Linked DNA regions of Neodiprion lecontei. The protein of the gene in region 1 purifies or fractionates together with the protein of each later gene. This does not show direct contact. Links are inferred from orthologs where the notes say so. Each region holds a gene or a part of one and is shown on either strand. Other genes may lie near its edges.

The links.
Region 2: the proteins of protein CASC3 (region 1) and regulator of nonsense transcripts 2 fractionate together in Homo sapiens (co-fractionation; 3 studies listed by BioGRID and IntAct). This does not show direct contact. The link is inferred for Neodiprion lecontei from reciprocal best matches to the Homo sapiens genes CASC3 and UPF2.

What each region holds. Positions count from the first base shown.
Region 1 is NC_060262.1:37,919,371-37,928,583, reverse strand, and holds protein CASC3, read left to right. Parts: upstream 1-2,472; 5' UTR 2,473-2,488; coding exon 2,489-2,635; intron 2,636-3,677; coding exon 3,678-4,108; intron 4,109-4,366; coding exon 4,367-4,514; intron 4,515-4,718; coding exon 4,719-4,873; intron 4,874-4,979; coding exon 4,980-5,392; intron 5,393-5,479; coding exon 5,480-5,731; intron 5,732-5,948; coding exon 5,949-5,981; intron 5,982-6,575; coding exon 6,576-6,832; intron 6,833-6,973; coding exon 6,974-7,624; 3' UTR 7,625-8,704; downstream 8,705-9,213. UniProt on the Homo sapiens protein: Required for pre-mRNA splicing as component of the spliceosome. Core component of the splicing-dependent multiprotein exon junction complex (EJC) deposited at splice junctions on mRNAs.
Region 2 is NC_060264.1:26,453,006-26,460,777, forward strand, and holds regulator of nonsense transcripts 2, read left to right. Parts: upstream 1-2,068; 5' UTR 2,069-2,254; intron 2,255-2,369; 5' UTR 2,370-2,416; coding exon 2,417-5,917; 3' UTR 5,918-6,253; downstream 6,254-7,772. Other genes in the region: protein arginine methyltransferase NDUFAF7, mitochondrial, read left to right, coding at 559-822, 901-1,020, 1,280-1,789; methylosome subunit pICln, read right to left, coding at 6,681-6,769, 6,870-6,980, 7,179-7,355, 7,493-7,638. UniProt on the Homo sapiens protein: Involved in nonsense-mediated decay (NMD) of mRNAs containing premature stop codons by associating with the nuclear exon junction complex (EJC).

The DNA of each region.
Region 1 (9,213 bases):
TTCATAGCTTGGAAACTTTTCCTCTCAGAATCGTTTTCCAGCTCTTTTACTCTATAGTAGTTGGACTCTCAGAAATGCGAAAGACGTTGAAAACAGCGTGTGACCAACAGTAGAGGATTTACGAAGGAAATCTTTCACTTTCCGATCGTAACTGTTGATCCGTTTGTTCGTGTTCCCTAGGACGAATGTTCTAAGGGCCTATTATTTCTTCTATGCTATGCTATTTAACAACAAATCAGTAATTTATTCAAAAACGTAATTAACAGTACAGGTGTTTAGTCATAATACCGAATATTAGAGTAGGTTTCAATTGATTATACCTAGTAATTACAACAGACTGAAGTGCGATGAGCAATTTATTGAAAAAGCAATTAACCACAAGAAATATATAACTTAAACCTAACGGTATCGTTAACCTTTATGTTATGGCATAAGGATCATGGCAATAAAGTATTTCCGGTTTTAACAATAAACCATAAAGCAATAAAAGTGACTCACGGTCTCCTTTGAACGCGCTGTCCAGCAATGTCTGCACTCACATTTGGCGAGTACCTGCATGTTGTAAATGCATACAAAGCCAGCGTTCCGTGGTACCCTTCGACGGCTGTATTATTAGTAGAAAGCATGGTTACTGTCTATCAGCGGCAGAACAAAGCATGGCGGTCATTATCTTGCAGAATGTGGTGCGATTGTCTGTCCAATAAAGCAGAATCGAACCGACCTGGCCTAAGTCTTTCATCCCTTTCAGGTATGTGTGAATTCCCGTTTGTCGACCCAGCGTTTTCTTTGAAAATTACCTGTAACTATACAATAAAACTATATGAAAACAAAACATTCGGGCATGCAGGGCCGAACACCGTTAGTCATAGCGTATTCAAACTGCGCGCTATCGATTCATCGAAAAAATCCAAAGGGGTTGCTGCTGCCTTGCTGTTTTGCGATTTTTAGAGCTCGGAAACTTTTCGTCTCAGAATCGTTTTGCAGGTCTTTTTTTTCCACTGATTGGACCCTTAGGAATGCGGTAAAAACATCAAAAACAGCGTAGGATCAACAGCAGAGGAATCACGAAGGAAATCTTTCGTTTTTCGACTGTAACTCTTGATTCGTTGCCGGCAGCATATTCGGACTCCATTCCATAGAGCTTGTCTATAATATCTATGAATTGCTGTCCGAGATATGAGAAAATAATTTCATTCATTCTCATTATTTTGTAATCGTAATACATGTAATTCATTCAAATTAATCAATCATTGATTTTATTTTTGTTATTGTTAATCGTCCAAAAGAAAGGCCCTGGACACACCGCAGCATTTTCAGTATGGGCTATGCGGTAATAAATGTATGAAGAGGCATCTTAAATATGCACGAGTTCACGATTCTGGAATAATGAAAATGAACGATACTATTCTCTTACTTCGAAAAACTGCTACCGTTTTATTTCATTTCCTTCTTGCTTCTCCATTTTTTCCGTTTGTTCACACGCTGAGAGAAATTTTTAGTTCCGGTTACCGCTCAGTCCGTAACTATTTTTATTCTTTACCACAATCGAAAAATATAGTTCTAGGTACAAAATGAAAATTAAATTTGTAGCTGTTACCAGAAAGTCTGGTATCCGTTACTATTCTTTCTCATTACGAACACTTTTACTATATTTTCTTGCAACCGTTGCGAAAATTTAATTTAACCAAAAAAGTAGAGTAAACCTCAGAAACTGATTTTGCGTTGCAATTACCAAAAAAGGATCGACAATAGCGCAAAATGGTTACGTGTACGTCGTTTTTCGTAATTCCAACAATATTCAAACAGTTCATTTAACGATACCTATTTTACTGAATTTTTCTAGTTACTCTAACAAATGAAATTTTTCTCAGTGCACTTCCAATTAACAATCCTCGATTTCTCAATTATTAGATAAAAACGCAACTGACAAACACCCACTCAATTACGTAGTTCATACTTGCGGCATTTTGCCGGTGCGTTGGTAGTCATTTTCATGGGCGTCTTTTTGCTGCCGACGCGACGGCGTGACACTGCCGCGTTAATTTGTCATCGCGTCAATTTGACGCCCGTAAAAATCCAGCTTAAGGCTAGCATCAGTGCCTTAGAGCATGTTTTAGCAGCCTTTGCATGTATGTATACCATCAGTAAACGTCACGAGTGGTGACGAGATATTCGTATTGAAAAAAAAATATCACTCTGATTCAGATTCTGAACAGGCATTTGATTTCCAAAATGACATATGTTGTGTTCTATTTTTCTTTACCAATGTGTTCAATCTGGGGTCCATAAGAACATTGATGAAATAACGGGGTCTCGCATATCATAATTTCGAACGTCGCGGGTTCTATGGTCACTCAGTCTCCCCCCACTCTGCATCATACTGACTGCATGTTGGCAGTAGATTTTAGTGTGTCGCGACGACGCTAGGGGGACAACGAACAAAACGAACGCGACGAATGCGAATCGGTCAGTCTCTGTACAGTCTAACATGGAGTACGAGCAAAACTCGAACGTGTGTAGCTTCAGTGAACTAATTATGTCGGATACACGGCGTCGTAGAAAGTCTAATACTTCTGGAGGATCTGAAGATCTTTCGGATTCGTACGAGGAGTTACATGTAACTAAGGAAACCCAGGTTAGTTTTATTTGACAACTATTGTTTCAACATCTATATTTCTAAACGTAAACGGGCGTTGTATTTACGGTCTGACTTGACCGTTTGTCGATGAAGGTTGATCGCACCGGAGAAATGAGGTCGAAAGTTCAAAGATTTCTCGTTATAATTTGCGTGTATCACCCCAGGTTCTGATAAAGTTCTATTCAGTAATGTGCCATCCAATTATACGGCAAAAAAATTTGCCGCAACGTTTTCGCAGGTTATGCCCTTCGTATGTCACTTATATTTAGCCTGAATTCTCTGCTGTTTAGAATCATCTTGATATCCGTGCCAATAGATATAGACACTGTACACTTACGCATCGTGTACTTACAGATTAGTATCTCAGATTTTCTGCCGTCGAATCAATTGTAAAAAATGTAAACTTTCGTCCTTACCATATATTACTGTATGCCGAAAAATAAACACGTTCATTCGACAACGCGGAAATTGATATCTTTATGTGATTGCAACTTTTTCCACTGTTTGTGTTTAGTTTTCTCCGTTTTTATCTGCTAGGACAATACATCCACTGGCAATCGTCATATCAACTGGGAAAAATGTATAAAAATGATTGCCATCTGTTGCTAAATGCGAGTTATATATTTGAATGAATATTTTTAAATTAATTTCAATCATTGTTTCAAGTTATTGAGTTAAACAATTTTCATATCCCCAATTAATGCTTGTAAGACGCTGACGACGTGTTGATAATCGTCACTATGGTCACACGTCGTAAAGCGTGAGTTTGTACTAGAAACAGATTGGTAGCTTATTTCTTATTGCATAGTTACATTGGCCTTCTTATTTTTCTGTAAATGAAAACTGGAGCTGGATGGTAGGCTGCCTTTCACCCAGATACATAACTGTACCTCACTTATGGCTTGATGTTACAGTAATTGCTCTATATGTTAGATTAGGTCATTCATTTGTAGGGCCTATTTTGGTTTTCAATTAATTTTGAGCTTCTACGGGACAAAAAAATTCTTTTTTCGACTAAAAATTTTTTTTCATCCAATAGAGTAACGAAGTTACAGAGGGTGAGGAGCATCGTGACTCAGAATATGAGACAGGCGAAAGCAGGTCTGAGGCAGACTCGCAGGATGGCGGTTTACGGGAGAGTGGAGATGGACAGGAGGAGGACAAGCCGCAGCGAAAACTGGATGACGATGAAGACAGACGTAATCCTCAGTATATCCCTAAGCGAGGTACGTTTTACGAACACGATGACAGAACAACGGAGGAGGTAGCCGAAGAAAAAGTAGAAAATCCCAACGAAAGAGAGGTGAAAGAAAAGAAAGTCTGGAAAGACAAGGAGGATCGATGGGATCATGATAGGTATAATGACGATGAACAAGCACCCAAGAGCCATGATGAACTAGTAGCTGTCTATGGCTACGATATTCGAAACGAAGAAGGCCCGCCTAGAGCTCGACGGAGGAGAAGATATGGGTAAATAGACATCAATTACCATTTCACTATAAAGTCTTAGAAACTTGTTATTCAGCAAGATATTATCAGCATTGGCAGCTAAAACATTTAAAGAATTAAAAAAACTACAATAAAAAATATTGATTGCATAGCAAACGAAAGTCTGATCACTGTCTACAAGAACAAAATTTTTTCACCATGCTTACTCTTAATTCATCAGTATCAAGTTTGTGTAAAAGTTTCTGGTACTCTGCTAACTTATCCTTATTCCAATAATAGTCGCGGTCCAAACAAATACACGCGAAACTGGGAGGATGAAGATGCATATGGTAAGCCAGGTGGTCCTCCTTCAGTTGGCCGAGGTGGTGTTAGAAAAACAAACCGAAGTGGAGAAGAGTTTCCTGCATTAAGTGGTGGCAATAATAAGGTGAGAATTTCTATTTTGATCATATTGTTTTGAATTAATTACGCAATAGGTGACTGTACCAGCTGGCTACTTATTGTTAGTATCAGTCGATGTTTAAATACTCGATTAGTTCCACGTTGAATTAGAACAATTTGAGATGTATCTTTTTACAGTTCAACAAAGCAAGTGTATGTAGTCTCTAACGAAGGTGTGTTTTTTTCACAGGACGACAGGTCAACCACACCAGAAGAACCAGTTATCACTTCGGCGTGGTATAGCAACAAAAACAAATCTCAACCCAAAGCAGGAAACTTCCCACCTCTCCAAGCACAGCATGAGTCTCTAAACTCGAAGACTAGTCCTACAAATGATTCTGGGATGTAAGTATGAGAAAAAAAAAAGTAAAAATACAATGCCACTAGCAAACTATTTTACAAAGTGTTTACCCAACATACTCATCAATTCAACATCAATGTTTTATTATAGAAACGAAATGCGAACCCTTAATGAGCCAACAAATCCAGCTTGGAAGAAGGAAGTGAAACAGAATTCGCATAGTCAAAGTTCTAATGGAAGCGGTGGTGGTGGTGATGCAGACAAATTACTGAATCACAAATCCTCGCCTCGTGATTCGAACAAAAGGCAGGTCCAGGAGAGTGTGAGTTTGGCAGCCAGTAGAGCCAGAGGTCGAGGATTCAAAGCGAGTGGTAACACTAACAATGCAGGATCCAACAGATTGGATTATAAAGCTAAAGGTCGTGGATCTGGCTCAGTTCCACTTGATAATAGGCGAAATAATTCAGACAATAATCACATCGACGATCATCATATAATTACCGATATGAAACAGATGAATGTCAATGACGGAGGATCTTTTCAACAGAATAGCAGACAGAACAGTAAGATTTTATGCTTGTCTGACAATATGATCAACGAGCATCTTGACTTGCAAAGCTTTTCTAACAGCTTATTTTTTATCTTTACAGAAAATTTGTATGTCCAATCTCCAGGCCAAGTTCGACCTGGTACGATTCCTCCACGTATGCAACAACAGCACCAGCAACCACAGCAACAGCAGCAGCCAGCACAGCAGCAATCAGCTCGCCAACAGCAGCATGACGCAGCTGGTAACAGACCTAAACGGTATTCAAGCTTACGCCAGCGCCCACCAGTTCCAGAGGGTCCTGGACAGCAAGGCTACCAGCCTCAGCATGGTCAACATGGCTATTACCCACAAGGTATTTAATCAGTCGAAATCATTCGCTTTATTGTGATCTTATAACATAACCTCATCTAAATATTTCCTGATCGATGCAACGATTATTTGACACGACCATGCTGCACTTTTTTTCGAATATGTCAACGTGACGTGTATGCTGTAGGCTAATTGTATATTTTACCGAAATTTATTAACTTTTACTTTTAGTATTAACATTTGTATTCACATGTTCTTAGCTGGAAATTCAAGAGGCGTTCTAGATTCCCAAGGTAAATTTGACAAAAAAGATTCAGTAGTATCGTGTGCGCGATTTGACTATTTCTCTAGTTTGATGCTGTTCATTGATTTGCAGATCATCTGACAATTACATGTTGAGAATGCACTTTTAATTAGTTTGCAACATCATTGTACTAGCTTTGCTGACTTCAATGTTATTTTACAAAGTGAATGACAGATCAAGTTTCAGCGTACTACTTTCAGTTATAATCTTCTCAATGACTTGTGCTTTGTGGCTTTTATCCACACAAGCATGGGAAGTATACCTCATCTTTGCATTGTTACTTGAAAATAAGGATTGTGATCGCTATTCATAAATTCACAGTGCAAGTCTTGAGATTTCCTATGCACTTTGGGATATATGCTTTCTTTTTTGTAATTAAAAAATGTTTTATCCATAAGGCTTCTGCTTTATTCGTGTAAAATATTTTGTGTATGAAATGTGTGAAAAAGCATGTGTTGGCGAGTTTCATGAGTTATCCAATCTGAGGAAACTTTGGATCAGATGATGAAACATCAGCTGCCTACTTTTCAATCACTAAATAAATATGAACAGTTACTTACAAAAGTTTTTTCTATGATTTTAGGATACCCTGCGGGTCACTTTGATCAGGCTCCACCAGTAGCACCGCCGGCAGCTCCTCTAGCTGGACAACCGGTCCTTCCCTTGCCTCCAGGTGGTCAACCAGCAAGTTTTGCTCCACCTCCATTTTTGGTACCTTCACCTCAGTTCTTACCACCTCAGGGTGCACCGCCAAGCATGATTAATTACGTACAGGGACCGAACGGGCCTGCCTTTCAACCTAACTTCCAGGGTTATCAAGGCTTCAGTCCGCCTGTTCAGGTTGGTTGATAAATGGTAGTTTTATTAGCAGCTAATTTCTGAAATGTCCTGCAATGAGCAACGAAATTTTAGAAATTAACTTATCTTCTAGTACCCTAATTACGACAGAGTAATAACGAAAACCAATATCTTTGTTTTCAGCCACAAGGGCCGCCGCCGCCCCAAGAACTCTTTCAGCCACAGGGTTGTACCTATTACAGCCCTGCTCAACAACAACAGCATGCAGTTCCTATGAGACGACCAAAGGCTGCAATTCCTATTCTTCCGCCACCTGACAATCAGCAACATATGACTAGTCGAGGTAGAGGTAGAACAATACAACAACAAATCATTTCCGTTCCAGTTGGCGGCGTGCAAAGAACAAATACGGAAAGTAAGAATAACATGGTGGAAGGCGATGGGAAATTCGTACAGGCACAATTTGCTGGAGTTCAGATAGAGAAGCAGGTACTAATCGATCAGTTTGCGGTTAATGAGACCACTGAAGTAAGAGAAAATTCCGTCGACAATGAAGACAAGGATGTAATATCCAATTCTGAAATCACCAATATCTCGGAAACTTCAAAAGAGTTGAAGGTCAGCTTAGATGTGGTCGTAATGACAGAGCAACGGCAAGACAATGAACAAGAAACGGAGCAGCTACAACAACAAGAGCAACATGTTTTGGAAAGTGATGATGTCATAACTACCAAAACCGCTGAACAAGTGATAATTAATACTACAGAGCCTGAATTGCCGAAAATAGAAAATAAGGTAATGGAAAGTCCCGCGGTTGAGGAAGCTGCTGCCTAGTTATTTACACTTAGCTTTTTTTAATCACGTATCATATTCAATTGACTATAACAGTGAGTTAATATGATGTGAATACGTTGATGAAACTGTCATCATCATTGAATGTCACGTAAATATAACTAACGAGTGATGATCATCAGAAAAAGTGAAAATATTTTGGAGAATTTCAAAATTGCGATAAAGCGAATAATGTCGCGGCAATCGCTAATTTATCGTGCATCAGCCATCGACTACTGTACATGTTATGTTATGTTTATTACTAACTTGGGGTGGTATCCGTATTTCACCAGTTTAGTTCGTCGCTTGCAAAATAAAAGGATAATTTCGTATTATCTGCATTTTGACTAATTATCTGGCGTTATTATCTGCCAGTTTCAATTTGAATTTTATATTCACATTGTGCATAATTAATTGCATTGTAAAAGTCTCATGGGATGAAATTCTTTTTCGACAAAGTTATAACTTTAACTTTATCTCTCTGGCCGGGCCAGTGTTACATCAGCACGTTTTTATTTTGTTAGCGACTCTCTCCTTTGTTTTGGCACAAGATTTTTCTAGGTCTTCCACCTGCTTCAGATCGATTTTCCCATTTCCTCAATTCAGTCAAATAAAAACATATTTAAGATTGATTTTTATTCATATGCAAATGTTTAAAGTTTATAAAATCAACAATATAAGATATACTAACTTCTTGAATTTTGTTGAATTCATAAGCTGATATATCTTTTTTTAAAAGTCAAAGATATCATTTAAAACGAACAGGCTTGTTTGATATAAACTTTGATTGTGACTCGTTCTAGCCATTTGCCGTGCTTATCTAACCGTTGAGTAGCCATTGATATAACATACGATTATTAATTAAACAGAAAAGGTAAAATCAGAAAAAAGAAGATAGATAAATTATGATAAATAGAATCATAAATTAATAGATATCACATACAAATGTAACATTTGTATTGTAATTATTCAGTCTGTATAAGCAGTTAGTATAAGCGACTAAAAAAGAGATGATTGCGAAATTGTAAAATAGTCCAAGCAGTTTTGGACACTTAAGGTGTGTAATAAAAACGTTTCATTTCACTTAAACTGACTTTTGTTTAAAACGTCTTTGTAGAAGAATTATGCCGCATAAATGTAAAAATATTACTTTTCTATAATCATGTAGAAACATATAAATGTTTTATTAACACGAGGTTCGTGTTTCAGTTTTAATAATGAATGCATGTAAACTCTTGGCGAATTGATCGATGTAGTTATGATAGTCGTATGGTTATAAGATTTACCTATTTTTATTTCCTAATGCTATCAGAAATTGAATTGCAGGATAAATTGCGATCGATTTATATTTAGTAATTTTTAGTACCTACGTGAAAAAGTAGCGCAATAATCTTACCTTGTTCCTCAATTGGCAGAGTTGAAAAAAACCAAAAACGAGCAAATTGAATGAAAAAATAATTTCCAATTTGGAAGAAACTAAAATATAACATCATCAAATTGACGCAGTGAAATCTTGTTATTAGTAGTAATTGTAGTAAGTTAGATTTATGCAAAGAGCTATAATACATTCTTCATGCCAACAAGTGTTTTTC
Region 2 (7,772 bases), on another chromosome or scaffold:
CATTAGTCCAAGGCTCACCTTTGTTCGTTTAGTTCAGATACACTAGAACCAAAAAAAAAAAATTAGCTTTGAGGCTTATAATTTTTACTTCGAAATATTGCCCACTCTGCCAGACAACCAAATTACCTGAAATTTGCAAAACTTATCCAAAATGCTGTATGTAGGCTTGAAGAGTTACGAATCAAAACTCAAACGTGTATTTAATCTATCTGGTGGTAATGGTTTATGCATGATAAGTTTCAAGTGATTGTATGAATTTCTAATAAGTTAAATGCATAGATTTTCAGCTCTTCAGCTGACTAGAACAGTATAAGAAATATTTCAATGCTAACTTCACTTACCAGTCTATATTTGATCTTTAAACTTTAATTTTGAACCTAATGCTTTCTGGTATTTGTTTTATCTATGTTGATTAAACTCTTTACACGGTTCTATGGACTTGTTGACTATCTTGCATGCATTTTATTAGCTGGTCTCACTTTTATTGAGCATATAGCGAAGCAAGGGCCTTCCTCTCTCTTGTAGTATTGCTGATAGATAGGTGTCTCTGTCGTTCAGGTTTACCACAAACTGGGATTATCCTCCAGAGTTTCATTACATTTGGTAGAGGTCAGCCCAACACTGTCTGACCTGCAAGCAAAGAATTTATGCAAAACATATGAAGAAATTGACAATGACAAATGTCAATCTTATTACAAACATGGCACAACAGAGGATGGTGTCACAGTGTTCTGGTATCGAACCATCCACGATGTTCCTTCTGGTTTCAGCATCATAATTGCACAGGAATTTTTCGACGCTATGCCCATACATAAGTTTCAGGTGAACTAATCTGAGCGTGAAGATGGAATTTCCAGCTTCTTAGCTGCCAATTTAAAACATTGCTTCTTCCTTTTTTAGAAAACAAACGAGGGATGGAGAGAAATTTTAATCGACATCCATTCAGAGTCGAAAGAGACTGAAAAATTTCGCTACGTCTTGTCTAGGTCAGCTACTCCGAATACCAAGTTTTACATCTCTGTAAGCATTAGTGAGCGTAGGAAATATCTAACTTTCTAAAACAAATGAAGATAAGTTACATTTGATGATGAATAAGGTTTAGAGTCTGTTGTTTGCTGTCCGAATAAGTATGTGTGAAACAGTTATTACAAATTTGAAATATCTAAATGAGATACGCAATTTTAAATATAACCGTTGTTGAGAATTCTAGCACATATGACCCATACATGTAAAATTACATGATTTATGTCACTAATTTATATGCATCAATTTTTTTTAGGAACACGAACGCAGGGATCACATCGAAACAAGCCCGCAAACCGCCGTAATTATAGATTATATTGCAAATTTTCTCATAGGAAACGGAGGATTCGCGCTTATTGCTGACTACGGTCATAACGGAGATCGAACAGACACGTTTCGAGCTTTCCGTAATCACAAGCAGCAGGATCCACTCACGAATCCAGGAACAGCTGACTTGACTGCAGACGTTGACTTCTCACTGCTGAGGAGAATAGCATGTCAAAATAATCGTCTGATATCATTTGGCCCCGTCACCCAGAGACATTTTTTAAAACAGCTTGGTATCGACACCAGGCTGATTATGCTGTTGAAGAAAGCATCCGACGACAGTACCAGAAAAGCATTAATTTCGGGATACAGTATGATTACAGACGAAGACAAAATGGGAAACTGTTTCAAGTTCTTGTCTCTGTTCCCCTCAGTGTTGAAAGATAATTTGAATAAGTGGCCTGTGGCAGGTTTTCAAGCAATTCACACACCGGTGTAGAATAGTTGAAAATTATATATTGTTAGAAATTGTTTACTCTCAAGATTTTCTGTAAATATTTTGTACTTTGGAGCGTTCTTTTCGTGTACATGAAAATGAGAATAAACTTCATCGCTGAGAGCAAAACTTGTATTTCATGTTCCGTCGACAATATCTCGAATATTTTGGTCTACAAGGATTGAATTGACGCGCGCAGTTTTGTCGTTTAGCGCCATCGTTGAGCCGCTGGCGGAAGCTTTTATTTTTCGTAAGGAGCACATTGCACAAATGCGCTATGGCGCGTCGTATCCTGGTCGTATTTAAAAGTCTGTGGTCGTATCTAACCATAGAATTGATAAAAACAAATCAAGAACACAGAGTCAACAACGACGTGGTGGGTAGTTGTGTATAATTTTATTTTACTGTAAAGTGCTGTAAAGTCCATGGATTGAAGATCGGCCAGGAGTTTAGTGTCGTTAAAACGAGGTACAGGCTTGTAGCTGAACTGTGTCAATTCCTTATAGATTATAATCTTGTCAAACAAACCTAACCTCTTTTCTATCTTCTAACTAAAATTCAATAAATGATTTGTTACAAACAGAACATCGTAAAACACTTCTGTCCGGAAGACAACAAGAGACCGTGGCGATGTCAGAGATTCAAAATGACAGTCAAGAGGCGGAAAAAGTATCACCCGATGTGTCAGAGGTGGACAAGGAGTTTCTGATGGAATATATCAGGGAGGCGGAACAGCGTTTCTCAACAAAGGAAAAGATCCGATTAGCAAACCTAAATGTGTCCCGTCCGCCTGATTCGCATTTCAGCAAACTGGATTCCAGCTTGAAGAAAAATACTACATTTGTCAAAAAGCTCAAGAACTTTTGTACGGCTCAGCTGGATACCGTCCTGAAAGATATGAGCAATTTGAATTTAACGAAATATATAAGCGAAGTGGCGACAGCTCTTGTAGAGGCTAAATTGAAAATGACTGATGTCGCGCCAGCTGTGAAGGTTTGCAGTTACCTGCACCAGAATTATGCCGAATTTGGCGCTCATTTCTTTGAGAATTGGCAGAGGATATTGAGTTTCAAAGTCGGTGACAAGATTTCAAATCCTAGCAAGCTAAGGGTAGATTTAAGATTTTACGCTGAGTTAGTCAATGCTGGCATATTTACGCACAAGCAGGGTCTTCCGCTTTTGGGCAGCGTGCTCACCGTACTCATTAATATGGACAAAGAAGACCACAACAACGTAACGATAATTTTGAGTTTTTGCCGTCACTGTGGTGAGGACTATGCGGGTCTGGTACCAAGAAAAATAAGAGAGTTGTCTGAGCTATGGCCAGGCGAGCCTTTGCCCAAAAGCAGACTACTGTCTGCCGACAAGCAGCAGAATGTTCGAACACTACTGCGGGACTATTACAACTCTCTGTGCAAACATCTACTCAAGGAACACAAAGAGCTTCAGGCATTCGAAAAACAGAATCGAAAGATACTGCAGACCAGAGGTGAATTGAGCTCAGAGAGGAAAGAAAAGTTGGAAACTCTGCAGGTATCCTATGAGCGTTTGTTCAGTGGCGTGCAAAGCTTTTCAGAAACATTAGACGAAAGCATGCCTGAACTGCCAGTCGACATGGAGGTTAAAACAGAAGCAGAAGAGTCTTTCAAGATGACCTGTGACGGTGAGGATAGCGGCACAACAACAGAAGATATGTGGGGCGATGAGGAGACTAAGAGATTTTACGAAGTATTCCCAGACCTCACCGTATTTTTGCCTGGTTCTTATTCAAAAGAAGTACCTGTGCTTAAACCTGACGAAAATCAACTAACAGAAGAGGCTCTGGACGAGGAATTGGCGCTGGAAGAACTCGAGGACACAGACAAAGTTGCCGAAGAGCCAGAGGCAGAGGTTGAAGAGACACACGTCACGAATATCAGCAACAAAATATTATTGGACGCGTTTCTGACTCACCTTCCCAATTGTGTTAATAGAGAAATGATTGACAATGCAGCTGTTGATTTCCTTATGAATTTAAACACGAAGCACAATAGAAAGAAACTCATTAAGGCCCTGTTCGGTGTGTCCAGAATTCGGCTAGATTTGCTGCCCTTCTACTCACGGCTTGCCGGCATCCTTTATCCAGTTATGCCAGACGTCGCTAATGACCTCTGTCTAATGCTCAAGCAAGATTTTAAGTACCACGTTAGAAAGAAAGACCAGATCAACATTGAGTCAAAAATAAAAGTTGTTCGTTACATCGGTGAGCTTGTTAAGTTCAAACTGTACTCAAAAATTGAGGCACTTTACTGTCTTAAAGTACTATTGCACGATTTCACTCATCACCATGTTGAAATGGCTTGCAATCTATTAGAGACGTGCGGGAGATTCTTATTTTGTTCCCCAGACTCTCATCAACGCACAAAAATCTACCTGGAACAAATGATGCGAAAAAAGGCGGTTACTGCTTTGGATTCGCGTTACGTAACGATAATAGAGAACGCTTACTACTTTGTTAATCCACCAGAGTCCACTGGCGGTATTGCAAAAAAAGAAAGACCACCTATGCACGAGTTCATTAGAAAACTACTTTACCAGGATCTGTCCAAGGCAAATACTGACAAGGTATTGAGACTAATGAGAAAACTGGACTGGGAGGATGACAATATTTCTACGTATGCTATTAAATGCCTTGTAGCCGCCCATAATGTAAAGTACCTGAACATAAGGTGCGTTGGTAGTTTACTAGCAGGTTTGGTGGCGCATTATGAGGCTGTTGGCCCTTACGTTGTAGATGGCGTTCTGGAAGACATAAGGCTGTGCATGGAGGTAAATTTGCCAAAGTATAACCAACGTCGTATTGCAATGGTCAAGTACCTCGGGGAATTATACAATTATCGCCTAGTCGAGAGCGGCGACATCTTCCGCACTCTCTACCTGCTCATAACTTTCGGCGTTTCTACAGATCATACAGTACCTACGCTCCTTGATCCGCCTGAGCATTTGTTCAGAATCCGTTTGGTCTGCACGCTCCTGGAAACATGTGGTCAATACTTTAGTGGTGGTTCTAGTAAGAAGAAACTGGATTATTTCCTAATATTCTTCCAGCATTACTACTGGTTCAAGCGTAGCGATCCTGTATGGACCGTCGAAAATCCATTTCCAGTCAGCGTCGATTATATGTATCGTGACACACTGACAATGCTTAGGCCAAAGATGCAGCTGTTCCAAGGTTTCAAAGAGGCCCGTTGTGCTGTAGATGAATTGCGCAACACCTTGTACCCAAGTCTCGCCAGAATTGAAGTAAAGGAGGACGAACAGTATTCAGGTGAACCACGCGCATCCGACAGCAATAATGAATCTGAAGCAATGGGAGCTATACCAGAGGTCGATGAGGAAGTGACGACACCTACGCCAATAGCTTCAGGTAACGGAAGTGGAGATGCCAAAGGTATACTCGAAGAACTGCACTTCGATGAAAGTGAAGAGTATTCTGAAGCACAGTCGGAAGATGACTGGGCAACAGATGGTTACAGAGAAGGTAATCATGGTACACAGGAAAATACTCAAGGGGAGTTCAGTCTATCGGCAGGCGTGAGTGAGGGGGTTGTTATGGACCCCTCAGAATTAGATGCTGCGCTACCAATGGCGCCAAGGCGGGTTGGCTGCCCAGAAGATGACGATTTTCTTTCGGCCCTTGACAAAATGGTGTCTGACAATATCCAGGACCGGATGCGTGACTCGGTGAAGCCACAACAGGTTGATATATCTGTGCCACTCCATGTCAAGAGCACAAAAAAGACGTATGAACAATTACGTGAAGGACCGTCGGACAATACGACTGTGGACTTTGTACTCATGCTTAGGAAAGGTAATAAGCAGCAGTATAAAAATCTTGCTGTTCCTGTGTCTTCCGAACTCGCTATGAATCTCAGGAATCGGGAACAAGAACAGAAAGAAGAAAAGGAGAGGGTGAAGAGATTGACACTAAATATTACCGAAAGACAGGAGGAAGAGGATTATCAAGAGACTATAAATCAAGGCACTAGACCTGTTACCGTTAATCTGAACAGAGAACGTCGACAAAAGTACAATCACCCAAAGGGTGCGCCGGATGCTGATCTTATTTTTGGGCCCAAAAAAATTCGATGAGCAGAAAATAGTGTAACCTCGGCAAGGTATATTGTAATGATAACACTTGATATCGGTTTCTTATGCCTGTGGTAGCCATACTACCTGTGATGATTTTTATGCTATATGCATAAGTGGTTACACACACACACACGTTACGCGAGTACATCAAATGTTTAAGTATACAAAATAATGTACGCTGTTCTACAGATCTCAAATTCAAACGGGGATGTGTTTCCAAGTGGGATCGTTCGATTGAAACCTTTCGACCCCAGCTTTACACATCCATTACCAATAGGTATACGTGTAAACTCGGCATGCGCCGTTAATTGAGAAATAAACGTTCCAACGTTAAAATTACGTACAATAATTCGCATGCCTAACATCACATATTCCATCAACCATTTCCGACACACGATAGATAGTTACAATAATCTTAGATTGTCATTTTTACGCAAGGTATACTTCTCCGTCTAAAATCTCATTCCCATTAATCGCGTTAATGCGCAATGACAAAAATCAAATGCAATATTATATCTATATTTATATACCTATATTTTTTACCATAGGAATAGTTATCATGTACAAAATGAATATGAATATAAATTCGAGCGCTTTGTGTCTTAGCTGACAGAAATTTACTTCAGAGTATTGTGATTCGGTAAGCTTATAGCATTATGTCTACAACGCGCATGAAAATAAACTGCACGAACAAAGAGATATAGTGACGATTGACGCACGTTTTAGTTGACAGCAGAGAGTAGAATTTAATACCACCAACTACCTAAGGGTCTTCTTCAGCATCTTCAAACTGGCCTGCTTCAATATCCATGGCTTCGTCTGTATCTGCACCGTTCTGATTATATGCTTCATCTGGAAAATTACCATGCCAATTGAATGGTTACAGGGCCAGCATCTAGATAGCAAATTGTATTCAATCTAACCATTCAACAAAAACAGAGAGAAATCATACCCGATGCCAATATGTATGGCATAGCGTCTGTTTCAGCTTCCCAACATTTGAAAACATCGTCCTCAGCATCCTCATAGATATCCTCTTCAGCTGTGAAGTTTTTGTTCATTTCTATTCATTATAATTGTTTCTGTAACTTATAACTTGGAATTGAAATCTATAGGGTTCTGTAGCAGAGTTAGAAATAAATAAATTTGGTCAATTTGCGTGAAAAAAAAAGGTGCATTATACCTCCAAGGTAGAATACAATAGTAATTGAAGTAAAGTCAAAAGGATTGTCATGAATTTGAGGCATGACCATTTAGATACCTTGAGGATCAGGGTGGAGTGCTTGGCACTGGCTCATCGCTTGAAACATGGCATCCAAGCTATTTGAATTTTCTGGAACGAATCTCATTTCAGTCATTGGAGTTTCCGATTCATCGTCGTCGTCCTCTTCATCGTTGCCTTCAGATCGGGCATCTATAGGCAGCAATTCTTGCATATCTGTTGATATAGCATGACACAGACATACAGAGATATTTGTCCAAAATTTGAGTTAAGAAATACAAAAAAATCCTCAATCATCAACCGCAAGTATAGCACATGTATAAGGGAAAAAAGTATCCTCGTTTTTCATTTACCTGCAGGGTCTAATTTTGCATCTACCATGACATAAAGGTATTGGTGAGGATGTAGTTGTTGGTCCCTTGATATAGCATGCAGCGATATATTAGGATATTCCAATGAAAATCCTTGACCAGTCGTCCCACTAACCCATGATAGTAGGCTGAGAAAGTAAGATTACTTATAACACAGCCAATCCATGTTGCATATGGGTTCTAACCGTTGCTCTTGCGAGCCACTAGTTTGAAACATCAAATAAAGGGAGAGTTGTGTTCTTCACTACCGATACTCTTATTT